Regions from separate parts of the Mus musculus genome. Here regions 2, 3, 4 and 5 are each reported to be linked to region 1. Evidence: microRNA targets listed by miRTarBase, many of them from high-throughput screens and not tested one by one. Region 1 holds a microRNA gene; each other region holds the end of a gene's coding sequence.
Evidence for each region. Region 1 holds the annotated microRNA mmu-miR-3098-3p (UUCUGCUGCCUGCCUUUAGGA, at 2,846-2,866, opposite strand). A microRNA usually pairs through its seed, bases 2 to 8, with sites in the 3' UTR of a target mRNA and lowers its output. Matches are read on the target gene's strand: a 7mer-m8 pairs with bases 2 to 8, a 7mer-A1 pairs with bases 2 to 7 and ends in A, and an 8mer does both.

Region 2: miRTarBase lists Hrk as a target of mmu-miR-3098-3p. The part of its 3' UTR that is shown has no 7-base or 8-base seed match.
Region 3: miRTarBase lists Cpm as a target of mmu-miR-3098-3p. Seed matches in the 3' UTR shown: 7mer-A1 at 3,943-3,949, 7mer-m8 at 4,123-4,129 and 7mer-A1 at 4,692-4,698.
Region 4: miRTarBase lists Dmbx1 as a target of mmu-miR-3098-3p. Seed matches in the 3' UTR shown: 7mer-m8 at 2,190-2,196.
Region 5: the mRNA of Mrps14 is a reported target of mmu-miR-3098-3p. Seed matches in the 3' UTR shown: 7mer-m8 at 2,956-2,962.

Annotation. Positions count from the first base shown.
Region 1 is chr6:125,192,565-125,198,710 of GRCm38, reverse strand. Mir3098 (microRNA 3098) reads right to left here and starts at 2,919; the gene lies at 2,833-2,919. It overlaps Mrpl51 (mitochondrial ribosomal protein L51), which reads right to left. Exons shown (of 3, transcript NM_025595.3): 2 at 6,085-6,146; 3 at 4,319-5,488. The coding sequence ends at 5,292. Gm52878 (a long non-coding RNA gene) reads right to left here and starts at 1,977. Exons shown (of 2, transcript XR_003956366.1): 1 at 1,469-1,977; 2 at 1-850.
Region 2 is chr5:118,168,158-118,174,303 of GRCm38, reverse strand. Hrk (harakiri, BCL2 interacting protein (contains only BH3 domain)) reads right to left here and starts at 4,540. Exons shown (of 2, transcript NM_007545.2): 1 at 4,176-4,540. The coding sequence starts at 4,521. The coding sequence ends at 4,243.
Region 3 is chr10:117,682,383-117,688,528 of GRCm38, forward strand. Cpm (carboxypeptidase M) reads left to right here. Exons shown (of 9, transcript NM_027468.1): 9 at 896-4,970. The coding sequence ends at 1,138. Among named protein-coding and RNA genes, the nearest start is that of Gm25709, 23 kb to the left of the region's middle.
Region 4 is chr4:115,913,570-115,919,715 of GRCm38, reverse strand. It overlaps Dmbx1 (diencephalon/mesencephalon homeobox 1), which reads left to right. Exons shown (of 5, transcript NM_001025567.1): 5 at 1,311-4,597. The coding sequence ends at 1,765. Among named protein-coding and RNA genes, the nearest start is that of Dmbx1, 23 kb to the left of the region's middle.
Region 5 is chr1:160,198,077-160,204,222 of GRCm38, forward strand. It overlaps Mrps14 (mitochondrial ribosomal protein S14), which reads left to right. Exons shown (of 3, transcript NM_025474.4): 3 at 1,352-3,110. The coding sequence ends at 1,534. Cacybp (calcyclin binding protein) reads right to left here. Exons shown (of 6, transcript NM_009786.2): 6 at 4,291-5,647. The coding sequence ends at 5,491. Among named protein-coding and RNA genes, the nearest start is that of Mrps14, 5.9 kb to the left of the region's middle.

The DNA.
Region 1 (6,146 bases):
AAGACAGGCTCTGTGTAGCTGTGTGTTCCTGGCTGTCCTGGAACTCACTCTGTAGACCAGGCTGGCCTTGAATTCAGAGATCCACCTGCCTCTGCCTCCCAAGTGCTGGGATTAAAGGCATGCACCACCACTGCCTGCCCATCTAACATGTTTTAAATATTCATCTGAATGTGGCATGTATGGGTACTTCATTCCTTTAGTAATTGAATAATAATTCACTGTACAACTGTTCAAAATCTTGGTTACTTTTTTTTTTAAATCAATTGCTGGACATTTGTCCTTTTAAAACATTAATTTATTTGGGGGGCAGGCATGCACATATGGAAATGAGATCAGTTTGCAAGAGTTGGTTCTCTCCTTCTTCCATGAGGGATTAATTAGTTCCAGGGACCAAACTCAGGCGTCCTTCAGACTCACTATGTATCTGAAGAAGGCCTGGAACTCCTGATCCTCCTGCTCTACCTCCTAGGCACCTGGCCCACGGGGCTCTGCTAGCAGGTAGGCATTGGTTTGGTTGGGTTCCTCTTGTGGCCACCATAATGGCCTGCACTAGCATGGCCCTTTCTGCTCTTGTGGAACAGACACGCTTCCATTCTCTTGGGTGACACCTCTGAGTGACATTACCGATCCATACGTAACTCTGTGTTTAGCTTTTTGGGCAGCTGTGGATTTCCCAAAGTGGCTAGATCATTTTACTAAATGTAGGTTTCCTCGTGCTCTGACTCTTAACTTCTCAGCTTATCTTTAGGCACACAAAGTAGTTCCACTAACAAATACTACTTGTAGCCTTGCTGTGTGCTGGCTCCATGCTATTTCTCACATCTGTGCCATTTTGCTCTGCATCATTTGCCTGAAAAAAAAAAAATTGTTACCTCCCTCTGCACCCCCTCCCCACTTTTAACATTCCTTTAGGATAAATTAGTGGTGATCTGATCACCTACAGGAAGCCTTCCCTGCCCTCTACCTGCTCCCCTGGGGTTGGTTAGGGACTCCTTCCTGCCTGTGTCTATATAGTCATTTCCCATTGAATTCCTAGCACTGACCCTTTCCAAGACCTACTTCAAGCACTTCAATCCACAGTCACACACACACACACACACACACACACACACACACACACACACACACACACACACACGTGCATGCATGTGCACACACAATTTTCTCACCCCCTTTTAAAAACAAACAAACAAAACAAAAACAAAAACCTCATGTGGGACTGGAAAGCTGGCTCAGTGGTTAAGAGCTGCTCTACCAGAGATCCTAAATTCAATTACCAGGAGCCACATGGTGACTCATAATCATCTATAATGAGATCTGGTGCTCTCTTCTGGTGTGCAGGCCTACGTGTAGGCAGAACACTGTGTACACAGTAAATGGATAAACCTAAAAACAAAAACTCATGCTGCAACAATATTTTTCCCACGCAATTACCGAATTCAGATATGCATCTTGTTTACATACGCACCCTGTACCTGACGGATGAAATCTTTTTACAGGCAGTGGTGTAGCCTTGGTTTGTGGTGTATATGCCTCCAAGGTCCTTCCACACAATGATTCAGTGTTTGTTGAAGGGAAATGTTGCATTCTTTTTCATTACAAAAACAATCCAGCTCTGTGCTTGAAAAATAAGACTTTTTGTAACTGACAGCAGGAAGAATTTTATACGGGCTTCTGGGGCTGACTTGTTAGTTCCTTCTTCACTAACACTTGTGAGATTGTATTAAAACATTTTCCTCTTCCTTTTCTACCTTTCCCCCTCCTCTTTGGTTTCTCAAGACAGGGTTTGTGTGTGTGTGTGTGTGTGTGTGTGTGTGTGTGTGTGTGTGTGTGTGTGTAGCCTTGGCTGTGCTGAAACTTGTTCTGTAGACTAAGCTGACCTTGAGCTTATAGAGAAACACCTGCCTCTGCTACCCAAGTGCTGGGATTAAAGGGGTGACCACCGCGCTTCATGGCTTTTTTGTTTTTTCTTTTCTTTTTTTTTTTTTTAAAGATGGGATTTCACTGTGTAGCCAAGCCTGGAACTTGATATGTAGACCAGGCCTGCCTCTGTCTCCAGGGATCAGTCCTGGGTTCAAAGGTTTTTGCCTCCATGCCTGAAGACCTCAAGACTTCTTAGCCTCGTTTTATCAACCCTTGTTATTTAAATTTTGTCCTTTGGGATCAAGTCTCTAAGCAACCAAGCCCAAGAGAGGCTGAATAATAAGACCTTGTGCCAAAAGAACTTAGCTGGGGCTGTGGAGAGATGGCTCAGAGGTTACAAGCACTTGCTGTTCTTGCAGTGGCCCTGATTTGGTTCTCAAAAAAACAAAAACAACCCAAACTACCAATTGACTAAGTAGATGTGAGTGAAGATGTCTCAGGCGTGTTAGCCCACTGCTGAATATGGCCTCGTGACAGCAAACTAGATTAACCATCTGAAGAAGAAAACCCAGAGAAAATGATTTGAAGTTGTTTTAGTCATTGAGTTTAAGAATGGACTGTTACGTCATAAAAGATCATTGACACAGAACTTAGATTTAAATCAAATAGGATAACCACCCTAATTTTTCTACCTTCAGAGCTCACTTGAGTCTACAAGCAATTCATTTTCTTGGATTTGCAATACTTTTAACATTTTTAAATTTTATTCTACATCCCAACCACAGCTTCCCTCTCAACCACAGCTTCCCTCCCTCCATAGTCTCTCCCTGCCACTTTTCCTCCCCACACCCAGATCCCCACTCCCCTGTTCTCCCCAGGTCAGGCCTCAGTGGCTATCAACCAGCCATGGCATATCAAGTACAGTAAGACAAGGCACCTCTTCTATTAGGGCTGGGCAAGGCAGCCGGTTGTGGGGAAAGGGTCCTAAAGGCAGGCAGCAGAAGCAGGGGATAATCAGAGCTCCTACTCCTGCTGTTAGGACTCCTCCCAACCACAATGTGTGGAGGGCCTAGCTCAGTCCCATGCAAGCTCCCTGGTGGGCAGTTCAGTTTCTGTGAGCTCCTAAGGGCTCAGGTTAGTTGATTCTGTGGGTTTTCTTGTGATGTCCTTGACCCCTCTGGCTCCTACAGTCCCTCCCCCCACTCTTCCAAGAGAATCCCCAAGCTCTGCTTTGTTTGCCTGTGTGTCTCTGTAATACTTTTTTGTTTTGTTTTGTTTTTTTCAAGACAGGGTTTCTCTGTGTAGCTCTGGCTGTCCTGGAACTCACTCTGTAGACCAGGCTGGCCTCAAACTCAGAAATCCTCCTGCCTCTGTCTCCCAAGTGCTGGTTTTAAAGGCGTGCGTCACCACCGCCCGGCAATACTTTTTTATAAAAAGAAGTAGGTATTATATAGCCTTGGACATGGCCACTAAATATGAGGATTAAACAGTAGTTTGAAGCTGGATACAAGGACTCACACATATAATCTTGTCACTCTGGAGGTAGAGGCAGGAGGATGGGTCCCAGTTTGAGCTATAAGAGTTCCAGGCCAGCCTGAGCCTGACTTTGAGAGACTATAGGTTTTTGGTGTTTGTTTGTTTGTTTTTGTTTTTATGTTTGTTTTGTTTTTTCGAGACAGGATTTCTCTGTATAGCCGAACTCAGAAATCCACCTGCTTCTGCCTCCTGAGTGCTGGGATTAAAGGTGTGCACCACCACCGCCCGGCTTATTATTATTATTTCATGTTTTACATGCAATAATACATGCAGCTATGCCTGTGCACATGTGCATGCCTGTCTCCATGGGAAGCCCAGAAACTGGAAGTATAGTCAGCCTTGAGTCACCATGTGTGAGCTGGGAATTAACCTGGGCAACCTGCAAGAGCATCCCTGGGAGATGGCTGGAATCATCTCTCCAGCCCCAAGACTGTTTAAAAAAAAAAAAAAAATGCAAGAAAAATTCCCTGGATTACCTTTCTGTCATCTCCAGACTTCTCACTGAATTGATTTCAATTGAAACATAAATTCAAAAACCTGTGGAAAATGTGGTGGCTTAAGCCTTAGATCCAACACTAAGGTATTATCTCCATGAGTTCAAGGCTAGCCTGGTCTACATACTGAGTTCCAGGATAGCCAAGGCTACATAGAGAAAACCCTATCTCAAAAAACCAAAAGAAGTAAATGAAGAATGTCATAGCAAAACCTATTATTTTTGTAATATATACTAACAAAAGCAAAGTGCAGCAGAGGGTCTATAGCTCACTATAAAGTACTTGGTATATCCAAGACGCCAGCACTATGCCATATAGAAGAGTCTCTCAGGGAAGCCCACACTCATGCTCTCAAGTGTTTTACCTCTGAACACCTCTCTCATAGCCCTGATGCTCAAACCTGTATTAAAATATCTTTCTTTTTAAAAAAAGATTTATTTAATGTATGTGAGTACACTGTAGCTGTACAGATGGTTGTGAGGCTTCATGTGGTTGTTGGGAATTGAATTTAGGACCTCTGCTGCCTCAGTTGACCTTGCTCTCTCTGGTCAACTCCACTTGCTCTGGTCCAATGATCAAAGACTTTTTTATTATTAAAAATAAGTACACTGTGACTGACTTCAGATGCACCAGAAGAGGGCGTCAGATCTCATTATGGGTGGTTGTGAGCCACCATGTGGCTGCTGGGATTTGAACTCAGGACCTTCAGAAGAGCAGTCAGTGCCATCTCACCAGCCCTAAAATATCTTTCTTAAATGACATTTTTTTCCCCTAAAAAAAAAAAAAAAGCAAACAGGGTAGCACACACAGGGGTAATACTGGGTGTGATCTTTAACACTTCATAAAACTGGGCATGACTCAAGGTCAGCCTCCACAAAACTGCCCTATTCAAGAGGATGGGAAATGCTGTGGTACTCAGACAAGTTCCCTAACTTATAACTGATAAGAGCAGTACAAAGTGTAATTTCACTTTCCTAGTTCATTTTGGGGTGGCAGAGTCTTTAGAAATAGCAGCTACACTTCCAAGGGCCTGGGCGGCTAGTGGCAGAGTTCCCTAGAATGAGCAAGTCCCTGGGTTTCAGCTCCAAGATTACAAAAAAATAAGATAAAATAAATAAAAATAAATTCTTTAAAAACTTACACGAGGTGCCAGTGTCAGAAAGTGCCAGCAATAAATGATTGTTATAAAGGCCACAAGCATAACTGGGCTGTAAGTAATAGTAACAAAAGATCATGTGACTTAGGAACGAGGCAGACGTCAGAGTGCATGAGTAAATGTAGCACTGGGCATATCAGATTCCAAAGGAGCCCCATTTTTTTATTACATCGAGCACACAAAGCTCTCTCCTTGCTGGGATAAGTCCTGTTCCCCTTCTCCAGGGTGACACATTTCCCGTCCTATCTGTACTTCCCATGTCGGTTAAAGTGTTTGTAGAGATAGCTGATCCGTTTGTTAAGGTTATGCAGGTCCTCAATGAACATCCTGTTTCCCACAAATTTCTTCTTTCGGACACAACGCTGCAATTCATTTCCTCTCCAGCCTCGAAGCCATACTGGGCCCTTGATCAGTTCTTTTGGGTGCTTCTCGAAATTCCCTGTAACGTGACAGAATATATACTAGTTTCAAGAGAAGAGAAGTCAGCCTAGCCCAACTAGGCCTTCAACACAGTTTCATCTCCCTGATCAGAACTACTGACAGACAAGGCACACACCAGTCTAGTACAAGGGACAGAGTCTTTGTAACACTTGCTCTTCCAAAGGATTCCCCAGCACTCTCAACTGAAGGTTCACGACTGCCTGAAAGGGAAGTTCTAGGAAGTCACCCTGAACCTGCAGGCATTGCTTGAGCAGTACACGGTACACATTCAGAAAACACAAAAATCTTATTTAAAAAAGAAGAAAGAAAGAAAGGAGTAAAGACTTTGCAGCCAGAAATGTCTGGGTTCAAATACTGACACTCCCATTTACTCGCTTTGGCCCTCAGACCTGCCCACTACTGTGTTAGTGAGACTGAGTCCCGCACTCCTCACTATTCTCCGCATCTCAGACTGGTCTTGCCTGGCTTCATCTCCCGTGTAACAGGTTTGTGCCCCCAGGCTTGCCCCGGGCACATTACTATTCTCTCCACAAATAAAACCGAAAGAGTCAAGAGAGCATACTAATCCTTCAGAAACCAGGAATCGCGTCCTACCCAGGATTCCAATGTTGTCGTAGACGCCAAACAGAGCCCTCTTCTCGTTCCAGCGATCAACC
Region 2 (6,146 bases), not on the chromosome of region 1:
GTCCCCCTCCTTCCATGCAGCCCCCCCCCCAAGCCAGGGCAAGGGGTGGCTATCCCGTCAAAGCTTGACTGTTCAGTCCAGTTCGTTCTTTGCAAAGACTCAGGTCGATGCTCTCGGCCTCAGTTTCCCATTCTTTTTTTGAAGTGATAAGAATGACCCTAACTATTTCAAGTGGAGTGAATTAAAAGCTAGACACAGCCCTGTCCTTAGCGGCCCTCCCCCCCCCCCCCCAACACACCCTGGAAAAGGGACCGCTCTCCTTCACAGCCAGGTGGAGTGCAGCAATGGCTCTTACCTGCCCACAAAGGACAGGTACCCAACCCCCGTGCTAGGACTGGAACCCAGGGTATCCTGCATGCTGAGCAAACCCTTTAGCACTGAGCTGCATCCCTAGCCCTTCTGGTCCCTAAACCTACCTCATATGTATGCAAATTCAGACAAACCAATCCGAGTGTGTGCATACAGAGGTCAGAGGTGGAGGGTAAACACCGTTTTTGGGTTTGTTTGGTTTTTTTCTCTAGAGTCCCTCCCTGCCCCTGTCTCCTCCCCATCCCCGGTCATTTTAACTCAGTCGGCTGACCAGGGAGTGCCAGGACCACCTGTCCCTGCCCTCACTCCACCCCTCCCTCTAGAGCAGGGGTTACAGCCTCGCGTCTCTCCACAGGGCTTGGTCACAGATGCAAGGGTCCTCACGTCTGCCCAGCAAGCACTTTGCCCACTGCCCTGTCTGGCTTAGCACTCTACTGGGTTTTAAACTGACTTCCCCAGAGGGCTTGGGGTGGGAGGATGGCTCAGAAGGCACAGACATCGCCACCCCTTAAGTTTGATCTCTCAGGACCTCTGAGGAGACAATCCACTCCTCCAAGCTGTCCCCAGACCTCTTGGCATTTGCGTACCCACACACAATGAATAAGTTAATAAATAAAATAAATAGGTTTTCAAAAGAATAGTGCACTTCATCGCAATGACCATGGTAGACTATGGCCAAGGGTGGAAAAAGATTCCAGCTGTTAAATGGTCAGTAATGGTCATGGTAGCTCACATCTGCAACTGCTTTATTTATTATTGTTGTTATTGTTATTATTATTATTATTATTATTTAATTTGGTGCCATAATCCATCACGGAGCCACACAGGAGCCCCAGCCCTTACAGCCACCTCAGAAGCAGTAAGAATTGTTCCTTCAACCCTCCTAAAGTCACCTGTGCTGTAAGCTCATTGCTAATATTATTGTCCCCGTGTTGAGTATGGAAGAACTGAGCCTTTGGGGCTTTATTTCTTTTTTGTCTCTTTTATTAGTAACTTTGTGGACCAAATGTTACTGGCTCACAGCTGGGGCAAAGAACAAATTTGCTGGGCCCACTGACCCTGGTTAAAGCTAAGCTCTTAAAAGATATCCCCCAACCCAACACCCTCCCAGAGACCAAGGTAGACCAGAGCATTCTCATCCCCATCCCCACCCCCCACCCCCCTCCCCCACCCCCCACCCCCGCAATGCTGGGGAGAGCATCCCACATCTAGTACACAGAACTCAACCGATTACCCTCTCGGCCGGCTTTCCTGGCTCTAGCCAACTAGGGCAGACTGGAAAATGAGGGTGTGGTCATCTTGTTACCAGATGAAGGGAGTACCCCCGACAAGGGCTTCAGGGGTGCAAGGGACCATCTAGAGGAAAGCGCCGGCACTTCCAGGGGTCAGGAGCACAGAGAAGTGAGAACCCTGGTGGGTGTGGCAGCTAGGAGGGGAGACGTTGTAAGCAGAAGCCAGGAAGGAGTTGGGGGCGGGAGTCAGGACGCAGCACGGAGCTATCTCTGGGACGGAAACGGAGCTAGAATAGAAAGTTAATTCTAAAGCGAAAGTTATCTCTTGTTTCCCTTGCACACCACATCCATACCGTACCACGGGGCTCCAGTTTCCCAACTTCTTGTCAGAGCTCAGAGTGGAGCGCCGGGCCTGCGTGGACCGCAGCCTCTTTTTCGGGTTCCCTGAGCACCCCAACTCCCGACATGCATGCACACCGATACAGGCTCTCGCCCTCGCCCGGAGTCTTGAGTGGAACGACACTAACAGCACTTCTGCCATCCCGCCTGTGCTCCTAGACTCCCGAGTTAACATCCCTGCCCACCCCTCGCTTCTATTAGAGATTTCCTTCCCTCCCCATTCACTTCTGCACCCTCCATTTCTCCCCCACGCCCCCACTCTCCAATTCATAACCAGTATGAATTTCCCTTCTCTTCCTCCCTCTTTCTCCTCCCAAAGTCTACATTTTGGGAGTCAAAGCTGTGGCACCCTTCAAAATATTAGCCCCACCCCCCGGGATTCCGCAGCAGCGGTACTTTTGAAAGGGAGAACAGAGAGGAGGCGCGCAAGGGACCTTCAGAGCCAGGGAGCCGGGCCGCAGGGCGCCCCGAAGCGACAGTTCTCTTCGCCAGCGCCCGGGCTGCGCGGGCCCACGCGACATCTGTCGCCCGCGCTCCCGGCTCACACCCCGCTCACCCCCGCAGCTCCTCGGGCGCTGCCACCCCCCACGCTCCGGCTGCCGCCTCTCCCTGCGGCGCCGCGCCAGCTTCCTAAGGTGTCTGCGCGCCCGTCGGGCAGGGCTGGGATCAGCCCAGAGCATCTCAGGGTCTCTGGCTACCTTACCTGTGATCTTCACATTCCGACCCATTCTCGGAAGTCAGCCTAGTTCCCACCCACCCCACCCCGTTTTATGAAGCCTCTGCACTAGAAATCTAGAAAGGCGACCCCGACCGACACTTCTTGCTCCCCCAAACCGCCTAGCCCGGTACCTGGCACACAGCGGGTGCTCACAGGTCACCCTACCAAGGACCCACCTATAGCCTCCCGATATCAAACATTAGGCACCCAGCACCCAGGGACGGTCCGGAGCACACAGCAGGCGCCCACACCTCTCGCCGTCGCTGGGGAAGGTGATAGGAGGCCAAGCTGTAAACCGCGACACCTCGTGGTAAAAGGAGCAACAAAGTTACCCAGGAGATGGGACCTTGATGTGCGCCTGCCTTGGAGAGAGGACCACGACCTACCCCTGAGAAACTTCCACGGGAGCGGGGGTGGGAGGAGTTGGGGGGTCATAGAGAATGGGGATCACCACAAACTGCAGACCCTTGAGGAGACGGGAGTTGGCAGTGGAGATATGGAGACCTGGTCAAGTTGGAATACCAGGCGGTTTGAAAAGGGCCGGGGACTCGAGAACCTGTGGTGCATAATTAGGGGAGACTCTTAGCTCGGACTGGTGCAGTTCTACTGCGTGTGTTTACTGGGGCTGGCAGCGATTGTGGTGGCTTACGTCCTTCTAAAACCACTATGCTGCAGAGGAAGGAGGAGGAGAGAGAAGAGGGAGAAAGGAGAGAGGGGACAGTGAGGAGAGAGAGAAGGGGGGGAGAGAGAGAGAGGTGGAGAAGGAAGGGGGGACACGGGGTAGTGGGAGAGGAGAGAGAAAGCAGACTGGAGAAAGGGAAAACAGGAGAAAGTGGAAAGGCAGAGGAGAGCTACACAAGGGGAAGAATAACGTGAGCCAGGGGATTGGAGAAAGAAGAGAGTGAAAACACTGAAGAGAGATGAGAGTGAGGGAGAAGAGAGAGGAGTGGGGAGGGGGGGGAGAGTGAAGACAGAACAGAGACAGGGGAGCGGGAGGAGAGGGGGAGGAGGTAAGGAAAAAGAGGAGAGAGAGAGGGAAAGGAAAGGGAGAGGAAGGAGAAGGGGAGGAGGGAAGGAAAAAGAGGAGAGAGAGAGGGAAAGGAAAGGGAGAGGAAGGAGAGAGGGGGAGAGAGTGGAGATGGAGAGTGGAGGGAAAGAAGAGAGGAGAGAGATGAAGGAGGGAAGGAGAGAGGGAGAGAGAGGAAGGAGGGAGGAAGAGAGAGAGGGAGAGAAGAGAGAGGGGGAAGGAGAAGGGAGGAAGAGAAGAGAGAAAGGAGAGAGGAACAGAGGGAGGAGGAGAGAGAATGAGGGAAGAGAGGGAGGGAGAGGGAGAGAGAGAGAGAGAGAGAGAGAGAGAGAGAGAGAGAGTAGGGGGGATGAGGCGGAGCAGATACTCGGGGTCTGGATAAAGAGGGACAGAGGGCAAGCGAAGAGTAGGAGACCGGGTCCGCTGTTCCTCGCCGAGGAGCCCTGGCTCCCGCTGTCGCTGTCGCTCTCCCGCCCGCTTGCCCGCGTACCTGTTGCTCGGTCCGGGCTGGGTCTCGGCTCCGGTCCCCCCCACCAAGAAGGCCCCGCGCGCGCCGCCTACGCGCTCCGCCTGCCGAGCAGCCAGGCCGCCAGCGCCGCCACCTGCGCGGCCGCGCACAGCCAGGGCCAGCGGGCGCGGAGCGCGGGCAGCAGCGCGGGCAGCGGGTCCCGGGGCCGCGCGCGACGCCGCATGGCGCGTCGGTGCAGCTCGTCGCCCAGCGCCTGCAGCCGCAGCGCGGTCACCTGCGCCGCCGCCCAGCGCAGCCCGGGGCGAGCGTCGCCGCAACCGCACACGGCCGGGGGCCCGCGGCCGCGATGCCGGGGACACGGGCACATGGCGTGCGGAGGAGCCTCCCTGGACCCCAAGTTTCGCCCTTCACCGCGCGTTTGTTGTGCTGACGGCGCTATTATTAATTAAAGTGTCACATGGTGGAGGGGGCGGGGAGGGCGCGGGGAGGGGGTTACATCATCCGGCCCGGGGGGTGGGGAGTGTGTGCAGGAGAAAAAGCCGAGAGGTAACTTTTAACCCTCGAGACGCCGGCAGGGCGGGGACAGGCAGGGATGCGGGGCTTCGGGAATGCTGGCCCGGGGTCCGCTGTTTCGCTTCCCGGGCTGCGGGAGGCTCCAGCTCGGAGATAGCCTGGAAAGCCAGCTCGGTGCGCACTGTGAATTGAGCTCCGGGAGAATTCGGCCGTAATGCGAAAAGATCCCCGGGCTGTTGTGTGGCCTGGGTGGTGGGAGGCAGGGTTCAAGCCGACTTGCCCTGTTTCGGGACAGCCTCCGCACCTGTCAGCCTCCGGGTGGGTGCACACATTCCTGACACGCGTTCGCACCCCCTTCTGGTGACCTGACTTAAGCGCACCCCGGGGTGGGAGCCTGAACCCTGAAATGAAGGCGGGGGACCCGGGATGGGTTGGACTCCAACTTGGGCGAGTCGCCTTTGCACTCAAGACATCTCCCCACCCCCCACCCCCCACCCAAGAACGTGGTTCTAGAGAGAAGTTCTTGCAGCCTGCTTACTTTGTAGGCTTTATCTTTTCAAACGGGGTCAGAGTTTGCTGGCGACCCTGTAAGGCTTTGCCTTGGTGCCCAGTGAGGTTACCTAACCCAAAGGAAGACCAATCCAGTTTTGCTCCAGCTCCAGCCTGGGAAGTCCTCTGGGGAGGGTGCCGACCAGTGAGGAGGCTCCTGGGACTCCTTAGGGTGCTAGAGAGACCCGCCCACCATGTCCAAGCCACTGGATTTTGGACAGCTTTGGGATTGGGGCCTGAAGGAGCAGGGAAGTGGTCCATATACAACCTGGTCCATATAGTGGTTTCAGGCCAGCCACAGTTACAGAGAGAATCCTTTATTTAAAAACCCCAAAGAGTCAGGGATGCCTCTGTGGGTAAAGGTGCTTGCAACCGAACCTGATGACTTAATTTCAGTCCTGTGAATCCGTGTGTTCCAAAGACAGAAATCTGATACCCACAGATTGTCCTCTGACCTCCATATGTACTACCCTATGTGTATGCACATAAGATAGATAGATAGATAGATAGATAGATAGATAGATAGATAGATAGATAGATAGATAGATAGGAGATAGACAGACGTATTCAAACAGAAAACAAGTCGAGCAGTGGTTGTACACGCCTTTAATCCCAACACTTGGGAGGCAGAGGCAGGCAGATTTCTGAGTTCGAGGCCAGCCTGGTCTACAGAGTGAGTTCCAGGACAGCCAGGGCTACACAGAAAAACCCTGTCTCAAAAAACCAAAATAAATAACTAAAACCCAAAAGATAAGAAACTATGAACTCACCTTTTTGGAGTTCTGTGATGTTATTGTGACTTTCCTTTTGTTTCAAAAACTCTGCTACGGTGTAACCAGAAGCTCTCCTGCCTCATCCTCCTGACCACCAAATGACAGGAGGACTCTGCAGCTTGACTGACTTTCAGCCACATCAATGGGCTACGGGCTC
Region 3 (6,146 bases), not on the chromosome of region 1:
GAACAAAACTAGTTTTTAAAACAATTGAAAGTTGTTTGGTTTTGGTTTTGGTTTTGGGGGTTTTGTTTGTTTGTTTGTTTTTTCAAAACAGGGTTTCTCTGTATAGTCCTGGCTGTCCTGGAACTCACTTTGTAGGCCAGGCTGGCCTCGATCTCAGAAATCCGCCTGTCTCAGCCTCCCAAGTGCTGGGCTTAAAGGCATGCGCCACCACCGCCTGGCACAATTAAAAGTTTTAAAAGAAAGTGGTAGAAGGGCTCCGAAGGTCTGGGTTGAAGTTCTGGAATCCACCGGGTGGCTCACAACTGACCATCCGCGACTCCAGTTCTAGGAAATCTGTTGCCCTCTTCTGGCCTCTGTAAGCACTGCATGCAAGTGGTAGACACGTGCAGGCAAAAAAACCGCTCTTGTGCAAGGTTTTGGGTTTGGTTTTGTTTTGTTTCTTTCTTTCTTTTTAAAAAGGAGGGGTGGGGAGTGAAGTAGAGTTATACACCTTAGGTCAGTGGCAAGGAGAATGGGAGTAAGTTGAAGGAAGAATCTACTCACAATCTTGATATCCAATAAGGATACTCTAGGCTTGGTCCAAAAAAAGCACCTTTACCCCGGCACACTGAAAATGACCGTGGCAGAATCAGTCGTGGCTTCCTCCATTTAGTCTTTTCCTTCACTAGATGCTGAACCCCCTCTCTGTTCTTACTTCATTTTGTAATTCTTGGTAGCATTTGCACCAAAGGCCTACATCAAGAAACACTGGCAACTTTCCGGGCGCTATAGCCCCGGAGGCGTGGACCGCTTTCAAGCCACGCATGCACCGCTCAAAGGGGTGGAGATCTGTCTTCTGCGTGGACCTCACACCCATCTGAAATCACTCAAGTAATTGTTTCTTGTTCCTTCTCAGGTTACAGTCCCTGGACACGACTCCTACCTCACGAAGCTTACTATTCCAGGGAAATCCCAGCCCTTCAGTGCTCTTAAAAAGGATTTTCACCTCCCGCTGCGATGGCAGCCGGATTCCATCTCCGTATCCAATCCTTCGTGCCCGATGATTCCGCTGTACAAATTCATGCCAAGCCACTCGGCTGCCACAAAGCCTAGTCTGGGCGTGTTTTTCATGACTCTTTTGTACGTATTTTTTAAATAAAGCAAGGTGTGAAACTCGACTTCCGGGAATCAGGGATTGGTTACTCCCGGTTATGGCAACCCTCCCTCCTGTGGGACTGCGATTGGGACAGACTCCACTGTTTTCCTTAAGAAGAAAACCGGATGTTTCCAAACCTGGCCTAGAGCGACCTGTAACGACCAAATCCATCTTCAGTCTGGATAAAGTGGAGGTCACTGCTTAGCTCATGCTGCCCACACAAACGCCACCCCGAAGGAGTCCCAAACACTTGTAAGAAAGTTCAGAAGCAAAACAGATATCCCTACAAGAAAAACAATTTGTCTACGGAGAGCCACGTGGATCAGAGCCGCAAGGACGGGCACTTTCTGGTCACTTGCTGTGTTACGACCTTTCGTGTTATTTGTAGAGAGCTGATATTGTCTATAAGTGGTTCTCCCCAAAGGAAGAAATTTCTAGATAACGGGACTAAGAGCATTTACTCTTGCCAATGGTCTAAGGCCAAATGAGAGAAAATGGACAAACATGTCTGATGTGGGTACAGATGCAGTGGCCTCTGTCTCCCGTGCCTTTGCCCTTGCCCCCTGCACCTGATGCCACAGTCCTACGAAGATGACCCCTCCTGTATAACCCCAGTCCCTTGCCTGAGCCTCAGATGCAACTCCAGCTGCTCACCAGACACACCCACCTGACTACGATGCCTAGGAACTGCAGTTCATCCGGTTGACTGTTGAGACGCCATGCAAGGCTGTTCGATTCCCATATCCAGTCACTGGAAGCTGCTGTATACAGCCTCTCCAGGCCAGTTAGCGTCCCTCCGCCGCTGACCCAGCTGCTGCTCATGGGTATTTTCGCCAAGTCCGTCTTCCACACAGAACCTGGGGAGCTGGGCTGCCCAAAGCTCTCCTGCTCCCTAAACACAACACAGTAAGTGCTCTCGGTCCCAGGTCTGGATTCTGATTGTGTCACGTCTTGTTTCCTGCTCAGTAAAACTCCATTCCATGGGGGGTTAAGAGCACTGACTGCTCTTCCAGAGGTCCTGAGGTCAATTCCCAGCCACCACATGGTGGCTCACAGCCATCTGTAATGGGATCCGAGGCTGCCTTCTGGTGTGTCTGAAGACAGCAACCATGTAGTCATACACGTAAAATAAATAAATTTTTTAAAAGGAAGAATTCCAAGCATCGTCTTCAACGGGGAAGCCCATGGAGTTCCAGGTGGTCAAGTTCAAGGCCGATCCTTCAAAGAAGTTCCTTTGACTAGTGACTTTACAGCATCGTGGTGTGGAACTGCTCTGTGCTGGCCTTCTCTAGCACGCCATGAGCTCTTTAAGACAAGGATCTGCTTGAGAAATAATTTCTCAGAGTCTAGCCAAAAAACAGGAAATAAATGGATGGGGAAGTGTCTCAGCTACCGCTACAGACCTTTCCAGAACGCTAAGGATCTGAGTAATTTTGTGTAAATGCGTTTTATGTTTGGCAACATTCAGCTTACTAGTACACACACACACACATACACACTTTTCACGTGTATGTCAAAGAACAAAATCCAAAGATAAATGCAAATGGGTGAGCTGTGAGGCTTGAGGGAAAGGCATTAGCTGTTAGCCAATCTGCCTTCTAGACCAGAAAACAAATTCTTACAGTTCGAAGTAAAGTGTCCCCTGTAAAAGTAACTTTATTCTAACATTAGAAGAAGAGAAAGCTGGGCGTGTTGGCGCACACCTTTAATCCCAACACTCAGAAGGCAGAGGTGGGCGGATGTCTTCGTTTACACAGACAGACCCTGTCTCAAAAGTAAATAAATTAAAAGAAAAAAAAAAGGATAAATATCAAACAGGAACATTAACAGTAACTCCGAGGTGCAGGTTTCTAAGTGACATGCATTTCCCACAGGAAGTAAGAACATGCGGGGTTTGACAGGCGATGAAGGCTTGAGACTCTAAAGAGATACGTGGGCACCCTGGTGCCCTTTCTTGGTGCCAAACCTAATCTATATTTTAATATCAATAGTCTGCATAGCTTTTTAACCGCTTCTAAATTTGGAAATAGCATGAGTATCTTGATCATTTTATTTAAATAAGCATTAACTTATATCCCAGAAGGCGCGTATTAATAGTTCAAAAAGGGATCTGGGTATATTACATTTGAAGTATATATATAAGACGAAGCCAGGTGTGGTGGTGAACTATTATCCCAGCGCTTGGGAGGCTGAGGCAAGATCGACACAGCTCAAGGCTAGCCTGGACTAGCCATCTTAGAAAAGCAAAACCAGTAAGATATGTAAGAGCAAACTTGGTTCGCCATCAGCTGGTGTTCTGAGTTCTGACTGGTTGACCCTTTCCTAAGATTCCGTGAAAGGAAATGAGCTGTTCGCTGAGCTGCTCATGGGCCTAACCGGAGACTTGGTACTGAAACAACTTGCAAGTGCCCGTGTCTTACCAGAGACTGTGCCAGGGCTTTGCACAGGGCCATTGAGCCACAGCTACGTCTTTATTTTGTTACTTTTTGTTCAGACACAGCATTTCACTAAGCTGTGTAGCCTGCACTTGGAACTCATAGTAAGCCAAACTGGCTTTGGATCTGCCTGCCGTAGACGCTGGAGTAGCTATTACAGACCTGGTCCGCTGTGTCCATATTCAGGTTACATTACTTAAATCAGAAATATATATCAAAACCCAGTGTAAAAATCACTAAAACAGGGTGAGGGGTGTAGCTCAGTGACAGTGTACTTAGCATATGCAAAGGCTTGGGTCTAATCTCCATTAACTACCCCCAAGACAAAACATAACCAGGAAATTATTCTGTTGCCCTCTGCCAGGTAGAGAAAGCAGAAGGAATACTTGGGTCTGTAACTGTTTTGAAAGCAATATACCTTACTAAAGGTGACCTGAAAACGGAAATGCTGGTTACCAAAAACCACGTCCTTTTCAAGGAAACTTTCACAAAGTGCCTAGTTTACATGCGTGCCCATTTTTGAATTGAGATGGTAAAATCCTAGCACCCAGGCAGCAGAGGCAGGTGGATCTCTGTGAGTTCAAGGCCAGTCTTTTCTACAGAGTTCTGGGACCGCCAGGGCTACGCAGAAAAACCCCCGTTTCAAACAAGCAAAAACAGTCCCAGTTTTCTCAGACTCTGCCTGTACTAAAATGGTATTAACATCAGATCTGCTTTCCAATGTATGAGCTGAAGCTGGGTTGAGACGTATCTGTTTCTAGGAAAAATATACAAAGCCATATAGCACACTTATTTTCCTATTGCAACAGGAGTTTCATTCTCAGTCTCGGAGGGGGCATCTAGTGAAGGTTTGTGAGCTCAATTCTGCCTTCCTGGTGACCTCAGGTACGGGAGAGAATGATGCTGGATTAGGTGAAGAGCATCGGGTTCTTGGTGCCTACAACAGATTCTTCACCGAGTTTGTTCTAGACTTGCATCACTAATAAGATGCTGTACTGTGTCTCACAGGCCGTTTAATCAAACCTTAAGCTCACAAGCCAACCCACAGCTCTGTGCGAGAGACTTCATGCGGGTTTTTGTTTAACAAGCTTCTAAGTGATTCCTGCCATTAAAAGCACAGAAGCAGAAGCTATTAAAGGTGCCCAGGTTGAGTGGTGGCAGTGCTGGACCACGCCTTTAATCCCAGTACTCCAGAGGCAGAGGCAGAGGGGACTCTGAGTTCAAATCCAGCCTGCCTGGTCTACACAGTGAGTTCCAAGACAGCCAGGGCTACACAGAAAAATAAATAAATTCTCAGATTATCTAAGATTACAACGTTTGCTTGGGAGGGACCATGACTACCTCTGAGCTTATTTTATTTACATTATCTGATTATCAATAAAGAATATTCATATAGTGAATGTTGTCTCTTTCCACTACTGTTTTGTTTGCAAACATAACAAAAATCTACAAACTAGAAAAGACTGCTATATGGGGCTAGAAAGATGGCTCAGGGATTAAGAGCACTGACTTCTTCCAGACTCACCTACACTCTCCTCTCTCCACCTCTTTCTTCTTCCTGCCTCAGACCCCCAAACCCCACCTGTCTCTCTTCCACACAGCTACAGGCTGCAGGCATCTTTATTCGCCAATCGGGGATAACTTGGGGGACAAGATTACAGAGCATCATCTGGGTTTAAGTGAGAATTTCCCAGCCCCTGGAGGCAACCAGGGCCAGTATTTAGCAACACCCAAAACCTAACAGTCTCCGGCCTTCCACCTTGTGGTAGCCTCTTGTTTCTGTCATGATGCATACTGCAAGCCAGCTGACCAGCAAGCTTCCAGATGATTCGCCTGTGGGTCTGCCTGTCATCTCTCATGCTGTGGTTACAGATGAGTGCCACCATATCCACGGTTTCTGGGGATGGAATCAGGGCACAAGACAAGCACTGAGCCATCTCCTCCACACAAGTATCTTAACTTTAAGTTAAATCGCAAACATTTCTCCGACTCAAAAGAAAATCCATTGCAATATAATATATTGGGAAATCCCTAGGCAAAATTGCCTAAAGTATTTAAATTTGTAGCTATTAGGGGCTGGAGAGATAGCTGAGTGGTTAAGAACACTGGCTGCTCTCCCAGAAATTCTGAGTTCAAATCCCAGCAACTACATGGTGGCTCACAACCACCTGTAGTGAGACTTGATGCCCTCTTATAGTAAGACAGCTACAGTGTACTTATAATAAATAAAGCTTTGAGCCGGAGCAAGCAGCCAGCAGAGGTCCTAAAATTCAATTCCCAACAACCATATGAAGGCTCACAACCATCTGTACAGCTACAGTGTACTCATATACATAAAATATATAAACCTTAAAAAAAAAAAAAAAGGCGGCATGTAGACAGCTGTGTGGTCAAGAGCAGCATCTGCTCTTACAGAGGACAGGGTTAGGCTCCTAGCCTGGAACTCGGGTCCTAAGGATCTGATGCCCTCTTCCGGCCTCTTCAGGCACTGCATGCATGTAGTTCAAGGCAGTGTATGCACACAATACATATACATGTGGACGAATTATTCATACACACAAATTTTAAAAAGGTGG
Region 4 (6,146 bases), not on the chromosome of region 1:
AGAGCATGGGAGGCAGGGAGGTTGAGAACGGAACAGGTGAGGGACTGACTAAATCTCTTTCACCATTTATGAATTATTACAGTTATTTCAATATTTAGCAACCAGTGCAGATATACCAGTGTATGTTGGGCGGATACCACGCTGGTACCTGATATTCCCGTTACAGCAGATTTCACCCTGACTCAACATTCTATCAGGACTTGGCCTATGCTTTCTTTCTTTCTTTTCTTTTCTTTTTTTTTTCTTTTAAAGATTTATTTATTATTATACATAAGTACACTGTAGCTGTCTTCAGACACCAGAAGAGGGCATCAGATCTCATTACGGGTGGTTATGAGCCACCCACCATGTGGTTGCTGGGATTTGAACTCAAGGACCTTTGGAAGAGCAGTCAGTGCTCTTACCCGCTGAGTCATCTCACCAGCCCTGGCCTATGCTTTTTCATCCCAGAGGTCTAGTCCATTAGGCGCTCTTGTGGAAAGGAGATCTGCTGAGAGGGTCTAGAGGATACGTCTTCTTTTTTTGTTTTGTTTTGTTTTGTTTTTGTTTTGAGATAGTGTTTCTCTGTGTAACCCAAGCTGTCCTGGAACTTGATTTGTAGACCAGGCTGGCCTTGACCTCACAGAGATCCATCTGCCCCTGTCTTCCAAATGCTGGGATTGGAGGCCCGTGCCACCACTCCCTAGCAGGATGGTTTTTTGTTTGTTTTTGTTTTGTTTTTTTAAAGAGGGTCTCATTATGTAATTCTAGCTGACCTAGAACTTCCTCTGTAGACCAGGCTGGCTTTGAACTCACAGAGTCCAACTGCCTCTGTGTCCAGAAGGCTGGGATTAAAGGTGTGCGCCACCACTCTTGGCCCAGGATGGTTCTTTCGAGGACTAGGCACATCCATCTCTGCTCCCCAGAGCTGCTCTGGGCTGGAGCCCCTCCCCCTAGCCAGGGTGAGAAGAAACAGAGCGCTGGCGAGCTGTATATCCAGACACAAACCCTAAGCTAGGCAAGGAGGACAGAAGGCCTTTGAGCTGAGGGCTGGGGAGAGAAGATTAGAGTCCTGCTTACTCCTGGACAAGATTAAGGCATTCCTCAGGGAACTGGGGCATGGGTGCCCAGGTAGGAGAAACCCTGCAGCTTCTCTAAGTCCCTCCCAACCCAATTCTGAGGGTCACTTCAGAGGATGCCCTGGCTGACATGGGGTGGTGATGGTTCTAGCCAGACTATGTTCACTGCTTGATTCAGGGGATTGGAGCGAGCCTCTCCTCCGAGCCTAGTTCTCTTGTTCTGAGTACTTGTTTTGTGTCCTCTGCTTGCAGATTCCCCAGGCAGCCTGGCCATAACGCCCGCAGCCCCAGGGGGCGGCCTCCTTGGTCCTTCCCACTCCTACTCCTCATCCCCACTCAGCCTCTTCCGTCTGCAGGAGCAGTTCCGCCAGCATATGGCGGCCACCAACAACCTGATGCACTACTCGTCTTTTGAAGTGGGCGGTCCCGCACCTGCGGCGGCTGCAGCTGCGGCGGCTGCCGTGCCCTACCTAGGGGTCAACATGGCCCCATTGAGCTCCCTACACTGCCAGTCCTATTACCAATCCCTGTCAGCAGCTGCTGCTGCCCACCAGGGTGTGTGGGGGTCCCCATTGCTGCCGGCGCCCCCCACAGGCCTGGCACCTGCCTCCGCTGCCCTGAACAGTAAAACCACGAGCATTGAAAACCTTCGCCTCCGGGCCAAGCAGCACGCCGCATCCCTGGGACTCGATACACTCCCCAATTGACTGTCTGGCTTCTAACCCAACCATGGTCTTGGGTGTACCCCTGTCTCGGTCCCATGGTTATTCTCAGAAGGCTCTCCAAGTTCTCCTAGAACTAACTTTGAGAGCCCAGGGATGCTGGGGCCTGGAGTCCTTTCACCTTGTCTCCCTTATTCAAAGTCCCAATCCCAAGTGAAACCCACACACCCTCTGCATGGCCCTGCTTGGACCCCATGGAGGTCAAATGGGGAGGAGGGGAGCAACTGGCTACACCCCCTCTTCAGTATTGCCTCCTCCCTCCTGCTCCCCCCCCCCCCGTTAGTAAGTTGAAGTGTGGAATGTGAGATATAAATATAAATATATAAAACTATATTTTCAGGCACTGCCTGCCCCAGGCCCCCTTTCCCTGTTCTCACATCGCCACTACCCTTGCCCCTGAGATTCACTCCAGCAGATTCTCTCTCTCTCTCTCTCTCTCTCTCTCTCTCTCTCTCTCTCTCATCCTCCTTTTTCTCCTGATCCCCCCTCCCCTGCAGCCCCACTGCCTCTGTCTTGATCCCTGTCCCTCTACCTACCCTTGGCCTTTGGTGCTGGCTTTATTATTGTCCAGTATTCTCAAACAGTGTTTCTTTTGGGGGTTGTAGGTTTTTTTTTTGTTTTTGTTTTTGTTGTTGTTTTTTGTTTTGGTTTTAGTCATTTTGTTTCTTCCTGTTTCTCTTCTGCTCCGCTTGGCTATCTCCTCCCTTAACCTGAACTCTCTCTAGGCAACTCTTCCATTCCATGCCCCAAGATTCATCAAAGTCCTACTTGGAGACCCAGGAGCAACAGGCAGGAGGTAGCTCTAACCCCACAGCATCTCCAGATATTAGGAGGGGCTCACAGTCACCTTTTCTTCTCTTTCTTTGCTTGGAAGTACCCGCTCCCAGATTGCAGAGGGGCAGCCGCAGTAGAACAGAGACCTCATTGCAGGGTTCTAGAATCCCTTCTCAGTGAGTGAACCCTTATGGCTACATACGGTCTCAGGACTTGGCTTCCTGTTGCAGAGGCCGGTGTGGGAGTAGGCGCTTCTGTCTCGTTAGTCACTGGCATGGCAGGGTGTGTTCTTCTATGTCTAGGCAACCCTGCTCTGTGGACGCCCTTTCAAGCTTGCTAGGACTGTCTTGTCTGGATAAGATGATTTAGAAGATTCTGTCCATTTCCAACCACCCAGTGTTCTATGCCACAACCTTGTATGGCAGAGGCTTTAATTAAGTTTAATAATAATAACTGCAGCATAAGCACTTAGAGAAGCCCAGTTTGTAAGTTAGAACATTACTGTTGTTTTGCTGAGGAACAGTGAGTCCTGCATACCTGAAGATCTCTGTGGATACTGCCTCTGTTTCCCAGTAAATGTAAATGGCTCCTTTTTAGGTTAGACAATCTGGATTTGATCCTATTTTTCTTGGATTCCAGTGTGAGCCTTGGGGGGGGGGGCTACTCCATTCCCCTGCCCATGGTGAGGGGTGGGCAAGATTACTTGAATAGATTCGTGGTTATGATTCCGCAACCCTTTGGCTCGCCACAGAACCCTCAACCCCACGCCCACACAGTGGTGGCCTGGCACGACTGGCCTACAGAGCCAATAGTGCTCACCTTAGTAATGTCAGTCTGGACTGGGGTAGGAGAAGGTTTTAGCCAGTAAAAAGTGAGACAGGAAAGCATGAAAGAAAGAAACAGGAGAAGTGAGCCACGGAACACAAGGTGACTGGCCTCGTGAGAGGTGAGGCAGAGAGCCTAGGACGCAGTCTCACATTCCCACTTTCACGCAGCAGCACCAAAGTCAGTTGAGGGTTTCTTAAGAAGGGGTATCTTCCTGGGTTCTAGAATCTGCGAACATCAGAGGAGGAGAGACTTGGACGGGGAGATGAGAGGTTAGCAAATCCTTAGGGAGATGAGGGGGTTCTGGGTTAGGGAGGGATCAGTGATCGATCCATGGTTACCCTATTGTGGTCAGCTTCAAGAAATTATGTTTCTGTATTGTCTCATCTGGAACCAGGCGCAGGGCTGAAACTGTCTTTCTATTCCTGGGTGCAAATGACTGATTGTCACTGGGACTTGGGATCTAACACTTCTGGGTATTACCATTTCCAGAAGCCTTCCCAACCTCCTAAAGAGCAAGGCCACCTGAGGTCATATCTGGTCATGACATGAGCCTGGTCTATCCCAGGCTTTTCTAAACTCTCTTAGATCTTTGTCATGTGTTCTCTCATGTGCTGACCCAAATCCCCAAGGCCAGAGAAGGGAGGGAAGACACACGTGGGTTTTATCTTCATGACCATGTCTTCTTAGGAGGATTAGAGGGCACGATTCTTTGAAGAAATTGTGGGTGAGCCCACCTTCCTGACACTGCTGATGGAATCTCTCTCAGGCCTGCTGGTCACTTAGGGCAGAGAGCCCAAGGATTAAACCCTTACAAGCCCTTCTAGGAAGAGTCCTGTATGTCTCTGCTCTGTTTGAGGTCTCCTTTGCCCTGCTTCCTCATTTCCCTAGAGCATGGTTCAGGGGCCTGGGTCCCCATTTCTATGCAGAGGCTGACTGGCTGTATAGACTGCTTTTCAAACCAGCTGTTTTGTGACCACTTGTGCTTAGAGGTTGTACAAAGCCTTGGCAAAAAACAAAACACCGTGTATTGTATTTATTTATTCTGTTAGTTGATGAAGCAAAACTCAAACCTCTCACTTTCCCTCGTCCTGTCCCCTGCGTAGCACAGCATGAATCTCTGTCCTGTATATCTGTCAGTCTTTTGGCCTTACTTCCTGTGACTTTGTGACCTGTTCGTTGTCTTAATTGGCTAATAAAAGAGAACCTGGCAGCACAGCCCTTGATCCATCTTCATTCCCAGAGATGCCTACCATGGGCTAAATGGTAGATGGTGTTTCAGAGTCTCGCCATGGCTGACGGGATACAATGCTGGCCCACCTGTAGCAGCTGGCTTCTCTGCTGGTTTTTCGTCACTCTCTATGACTCTTGTCTGTAGCTGGTGAGTCACATTGGAGAAGTCACTGGGAACAGCTCTGTCTTTTCTGAGCTTTTTTTGGGGGGGGGAGGGGGGGTGTTTCACCTAAGGTGAGAGGGCAACCTGGGCCAGGTGACCAGGGGGATGATAGTTCTGCAAGGTGGAGAGGGAAGGATAATCTATGGAGTGCCAAGCAGGCCAGAATCAAAGCTGAATACTAGGAAGGCACATTTGAATCTCTAGGCATGGTGACACACACCTGTAACCCCAGCACTTGAAAGGTGGAGGAGGCAGGAGCATTTTGAAGGCCAACCACCCAGGCTACGTGAGACTTGTCTAAGAAAACAAACAAACAAACAAAACGACTTTGTTGATTTTGGTGTGTGATGTTTTTATTTATTTGCAAGAGGTTTTTCTTAATAATAAAGTTTATTAAACAAAGAAAAACAAAAGTCCAGAGCTGCTCTCTGGTGGAACAGGGGCCTTTGAGTGCGGTGAGTTCTTTGTTATCAGAGGCAGGCATGCAGGACATGGAGAGGGGATTGCTGCAGTGGTAAGGTCACGTGTGTATATGTTGTTGGAAGTCCATGTGTAGGAATGGGGACCTGTGCCGTGACCTCAAGGGCCTACTGACTGGTATTTGTGTTCTTCCGGATGAGCAGGAAAGAGTGAAAGCCAGGAGACAGGGTATGTAGGTGGTAGCCATAGGAAAAGCATACAGTTCAGAAGTTTGTGGTGTGAAATCTTTGCTTCCCCTACTTATTTCAAGGAAAAAAAAAAAAAAAAAAAAAGAAAGCTGGGCATGATGGTGCATGTCTTTTAATCTCTGGAGGCAGAGGCAGGTGTATCTCTGTGAGTTCGAGGCTAGCCTGGTCTACGTAGTGAGCTCCAGGACAGCCAGGACTACTGAGAGACCCTGTTTCAAGTATAACAACAAAAGAGTACCAGACATCTCCATTCTTTGTCCCTCATCACACTGATCCTATCTTCCTTCTTTGAGTTCCAGCATGTCTGCAAGGGGACCCATTGCCAGGAGGAGCTTTTGGATGGACCTGGGGCTGGGACCTCCCTCTGTCAGGCCTTCTTGGTAGGAGAACCCCAACAGGCCTGGAGAGTTTGCAGATAGGCTATCTACTGGATTTTCCAGGGTGGGTCCTGACCTCACTACTTCCCAGGTCATTGTGACCCCAGGAGCTGCATTCCTCTCCCAAGTGGGGCTGAGGATTACCCCCCCTTACCTCCCTGACAGATCAAATGTCACCCCAAATCTCCCACAGATCTTACCCAGGCCCTCAGCAACCCAGTGCTTCCTACATATCTCAGCTTTGAGGGACACACCTTCCCTGGCACGAAGCTTGTCTGGTAACACTGCAGTTCAAATCCCTCACTCATTCTGTCAGCATTGACTGA
Region 5 (6,146 bases), not on the chromosome of region 1:
TGACCTCATTGTGTTTTATGCAATTCCCCACATATTTCTAATATCAACAAATGCATAAGCTTTTAGACATCAGTAGATTTGCACATGCAATCATTTATTTAGTGGTTTTTTTAAGTATTGCAATTTTTGTCCTTTTAAATAGTATGTACTTTTCTGTGTGTCTCCCACATTCTATCAAGGATCAGTGGTGTGCTAACACATCTGATAAGTGTTTACTGACAACCTGAGCCTAATCTGCCATACTTTCTCCCCTCAACCACTTCCCAGTTTCATAGCCATTACCTGGACAAGATTCATGGCCCTTGTCTGGCTACCTTCCTTTATTTCTGCAGTAGTCAGAATCTTCATCATAAGGCTTTGAGGATCCTGGTGATGAACTTTTTACTAGTCTCAAGCCATGGTCTTTCCTAAGCATCATCAGCTCAGATGCTTAAAGCTTTTGTCCTTCAAAAATTATGTGTCTCTGCATGGGCCGATAAATGCATCACATATTTTTTCTAAATGACTTAAACATGGATGTATGGAGCAGCACTATTCACAATAACTCAAAAGAGAACCTACTCAGTGATAGGTTATCTCTGCCGGCAAAATGAGCCAAATTCAAGCAATATTAAAGTCTATGACAGAAAGGGGAGGTGGGAGGAGAAAGATAGATAGAAACAAGAGTGAGAGATAACGAGAACTAAAATGTCAGAATTATATAGTGAAGAGCCTCCAGGGAAGAGGGAGTCCAGGCCCTGAGCTGGGACGTTCAGGTGAGGATTGAAGGATGTGGTAGAGCCTGGAGGGTAGATCTGCTTTGGTATGTTAGTCACCTCAGCTGCTGGTCCCAGGTCTGAGCCCAACACTATCTCTACCAGCTACAGAATACATGAAGGAATTCCAACATACGCAGTGAAACTAGCATCAAGGAGACAGAGGATATCAATGACACTTGGAACAGTGTAGGCAAACTAGCATATTGTAGAATAAAGAAACAAAATGAATAAAGACAAAAAATATTATATGGGCATATGGCATACAGTTTGCAACAGGATAAATGTGTACTTAAGGTTTTAGTGAACATATTAGCTGTTAGCCAGTGCCCTTAGAAGGGAGGCATCATCAATCAGCCTTGGGTGCTGATGTTATAAGTCAGTGATGGCTACACAGCATATGCTGTTTATAAAAATAGACTGAGCTTTGTTATTTTGATTTGTGGATTATGGTTATTTTAATGTTTAAAATCACATTGAAAAAACATCAAACATTTCTGTTGTCTCTATCGTATCTGCAGTTGTCTGGCTAAGATTCTAGCCCATTTTTCTTTCCTTTAGGCACTGAGTTATGATCTGTTATAATTTTCCCCTAGGAAATGGCTGGTGATGAAATTGCTGCCCTTCCACGGGATAGCTGTCCTGTTAGAATCAGAAATCGCTGTGTTATGACATCTCGCCCACGTGGTGTTAAGCGTCGCTGGAGACTTAGTCGCATTGTCTTCCGCCACTTAGCTGACCACGGGCTACTTTCTGGAGTCCAGCGAGCGATATGGTAAAACCATTTCAGAACCTGCCCAGCTGGGCAGTCAATCCTGGCAGGAGACTTAAGATCAAACCCTAGGTCTTACAAGGGTCTAGTATGTTTAGTCTACTTAACCCTGAGTTAAATTACTTTTACATTTTAAATAATGTGGCTATTTGTCATTGAATTGTCTTTCAACTTTAAAGCATAGTACAAGAGTGGAATAAACATATTTTCTGTGAAAGTATGGTCTTTCCTTCAAGTTTGATGTTTAGTAGCAAAATAATATATATTTTTGGAGTGATTTCACAAAATATTTCTAGATGTCAGATCTAATTGACAGGTTGCTTTTCTATGTTGTATTCCTGGACTAGTTTCCCTGGTCTGCAGTTACAATCACTTTTTGGATAACAATAGACAGAGTTAAACAGGATATTCTAAATTATATTTAGGGTCAACTTTATGTGACAGTGAATAAAAGAACTGCTAAATAGTTGTTTCATCTTTTAAATTTTTTCATTACTGCGTATGGATGTTTTCATGCATGCAAACCTATGTTCCACGTGGGTGCCTGGTGCTGGAGGCCAGAGGAAGGCCCTGGGTTCCAATTACAAACAGCTGTGAGCTACCACATTTAAACCTTACCTGTTGCCTGGAGACTTCGATATTTCAGTGCTGATGGTTGCACGGGATCTGTTTTCATTAAGGATTGTAGGATTTTCTAATTCTATCTTTGCTGCATCCTTTGGGTGTTTGTTATTATTTTTTTAAAAAACTTTCCATATCAACAATTACTAAAACATGTTTCTTTGACATAAATGTGTAATTAATTTTCAGAGTAAACAAGTTGCTATACTACTAAAAATGGAAACCAATCATTGTTCATCCCTGTGAACTTTGAAATGTTTATATATTTGGTGCATTAGCCCACTCTGCCCATTCTTACCCATGATCATTGTCCTATTACCAGTGGAAGTCCCTTGACATCTCTATCCTGTAAGTAAGGTTATTCACTATGTTCTTGATTGATTACTGTTATAACAGCCAGTATAGTTCCTGATTAAGACACCTGTCTTTAGGGCTCTTTTAGTAGGAAATGTTTAGAGACCACAAGATACACTAAGGTTAACTCATAGCCATTAAGTTGTCATTGCCTTGCTAGGAATTTTCATTTTGTTTCAAGATTTTTAATTATGTGTATATGTATGTGTGGGGCAGGGGGTGAGTGCTTGGGGGGACCAGAGGTGTCAGATACTAGAGCTGGACTTAGTCTTGTGAGCCACATGGGATGGGTGTTGGGAACAGAACTGGGGTTCCCTTTGAGAGTGGTATACATCCCTTCAGCCCTAGAAATGTGTTTTTATTATAAGTAAAACATAGTGGTACCTTTATATTAATTCTATATTTATGTATCTTACATAAAAATTTTAAATCTTGGGGGCTGGAGGGATGGCTCAGCAGAGAGCAAGTACTGTTCTTCCAAAGGATCAGAGTTCAGTTCCTAGCACCCATGAGGGACAGCTCATAACCAACTGTAATTCAACTCCCTGGGAAGTCCAAAAAACCTCTGGCAGCCTCCAGCAACCACAATGGCGATTAACTCAAGATTTAAAAAAAAAACAAAAAACAAAAAAAACAACTTCTAAAAAAGCAATTGAGGGGCTGGTGAGATGGCTCAGTGGGTAAGAGCACCCGACTTGCTCTTCCGAAGGTCCAGAGTTCAAATCCCAGCAACCACATGGTGACTCACAACCATCCGAAACAAGATCTGACTCCCTCTTCTGGAGTGTCTGAAGACAGCTACAGTGTACTTACATATATTAATAAAACAAATCTTAAAAAAAAAGCAATTGAGCCGGGCAGTGGTGGCACACACCTTTAATCCCAGCACTCGGGAGGCAGAGGCAGGTGGATTTCTGAGTTTGAGGCCAGCCTGGTCTACAAAGTGAGTTACAGGACAGCCAGGGCTACACAGAGAAACCCTGTCTCGGAAAACAACAACAAAAACAAACAAAAAAAAGCAATTGAGTGTCAGCAACTTTACTTTTATCACAATATATAAAAATTGCAATATATTCATTAATTGTTGCAAAAAATTAGAATTCATCTAATAGACAAATATTCTAAAGTTCCCTGAAAATAACTTGTACTAAATTCAATATGCAAACAAAGCAACTATTGCTTAGTTGTCTTTGTAAAATGCATATTGAAATTGAATGCCCAGTTAGTTCATGGTATTAAGTGGGGTCATAGCTTCACCTTCATGAATGAGCTTAATACACTGAGAGCTCCTGGAACTTTCATTGCTTGCATCCTCTGCCAAAGCCCTTATTAACCACCAAGTAGGCCCTCCGATCTGGCTTTTCTTTTTTTCAATTTCAGTGCTTTTTCAATTGTTAAAATTCCAGTGGTTCTAAGGTCCTAATTATCTATTTCTGCCATGATGTACCACAGTCTAGTCCTGTTAATGTTTGTTCTTAACTGTGTATGTCATTCCCAGGTTTTTATGTTCTATGCATCTACTTTTCCTAACCTAAGCATGAAAATTTAATAGCTATGTTCTTAAATAAAAACCAGTGGAGTTTTCCCAATGTACAGTAGGGTTGATCTGGCTTCTCAGGACTTGCTAGAAGAGTGAGCATATTTATTTCTTTTGTATTTCCCTCCCTTTAGGTTTCGTGACCCAATGCTTTTATTAGGGTTACTTTGCTGGAATGCTGGGGAAATTACCAGTGGCTACACCATTGAAGAAAATGTCATTGCCCCCAACTCCTTTTTTTTTTTTTAATTCTATGAATGATTTATAGTTACTGGAAACCTTAGTAGGTCATTGGTTTGTGCTTATGTGTATTTTTTTGCCATGTATTTTCCTTTTACTTTTTAAATCAAGACTTCTTCCCCAGTCCTAGGTCATAATGGAATTCCATCTCTTTAAGTACTTGCATAACTTTATTTTTGACAGTGAGATCTTAGATGCTGTAAGTGTGAGCATATGGCTGTCTTATTACACTGCTATCATTAATGCTTCATCTCCCTACAAACGCCAAATCTCCTGCATGCAATAAGTTCATGTGTTTACCAGTCTGCTTACTTCACAGCTCAATACACTTCCAGCTACCCTTTCTATACATTAATTGTAAGTTCTGACTTTTACCTAATCCTTAATGGTAGTTGTTGTGATCGACTGGCTTTTTTTCTAGGCATCTAATTGCTTTCTTTTTGATGGTGAGCCTATCATTTAACAGCTAAGCCATTGCTAAGCCCTTACGGCTTTCTGAAACTTACTCGAGTACAGTGACAAAGCTTAACTTTGAATACACTCAAAACAGATTGCAGAACTCATCTTTTAAGTAAAACTCCAACTTTATTGAACAAAGGAATAAATGGGCGTTTTCAAGTTTTCGCGTCATGGTTATTTTTAAGCCATCTGAACCATGATAGTACTTATCAACACGATGTTTGTCTATTTTTGTCCTTTGTATTTTGTTTAATTTTATATTCATAAGTATACTTAAATCAATTAGCAGTATATGGTAACACATGGTAATAATGGAACAGCTCTGTAGTAACTTTGCACAAATTTGAATTTTATGCAAAAATTTTGCTTTATTGTTTACATTACTGGGATCTAATGTCAACTACAGACAAACACTTCTGTATTCTATCTCCCAGCCAGAACAAAAGTCTGTGACATAACATTTTCATTATGCAAGACTTCCTTTTTACATTTTCAGTAAGAGTGCCATATAGCCTTTTCTGAAACGAAATGTCTGGGGTGCTAATGAAGGAAACAGTTTAATAAGCTTATTTATTTAAATCAAATCCTCCAGTAAGAAATGGAGAATCTGCTATCTTTACTTAAAAGGCGGTGTAAATATTTATCTGTCAAAACTACATACCCACATGAACAAATATGTGCAGTTCAACAACATCCCCTTACTGGAACACGAGCATTCCACATCACAGTTCCCATACGGACTTTTAAAAGCCTCAAAATTCCGTGTCTTCTCTGGCTTGCTTCTCTCTGGATTCCACCCACGCTTTATTAATGGTTCGCTTCATATCATCGTCTCCGTCTTCATAAATTTTCTTTAGAACATTCATTAATCCCTCACTAGGGTCTGCCTCCGTGTCGTAGGAAGGCTTTCTGTGAAAAAGAAAACACGCTACAATGGAAAAACTGAGGCATGGAAAGACATTCTTGGGTTGTAAGTGGTAGGAAGTTGAGCAGAGAGAAGGGATGCTAGAGTATACAACCCAAATAGCATGCCCAGGCACATCCTGATAAAACTACCATGGTACACAAAGGAGGGTCTGCCAAATGGCAAGGACTAACATGGCAGTGAGATTTCCAGAGAAAATGATCAATTTGAGTAGTTAAGTTTTCCAGATTGTTGATTTTTTTTAAAAGTATTTTTCTTCACATTTAAAAATTCTACAAACCCCTGCAAGTTATGGTATGGATACATAATGAAAGGAGAACATTTTAGTTAGAAAAAAATTAAATTAGTAAACTTTAGATTCATGGATCTGGGTCTAGTGCTAAGGTCTTTAATTAATGTGGTAAGCAGATCTAGTCAAGGAATGTCTAAGCAGCCAATCGTCCTTACATTTATTTCTTGAAATAGGTCTTATTATTTAAGCTC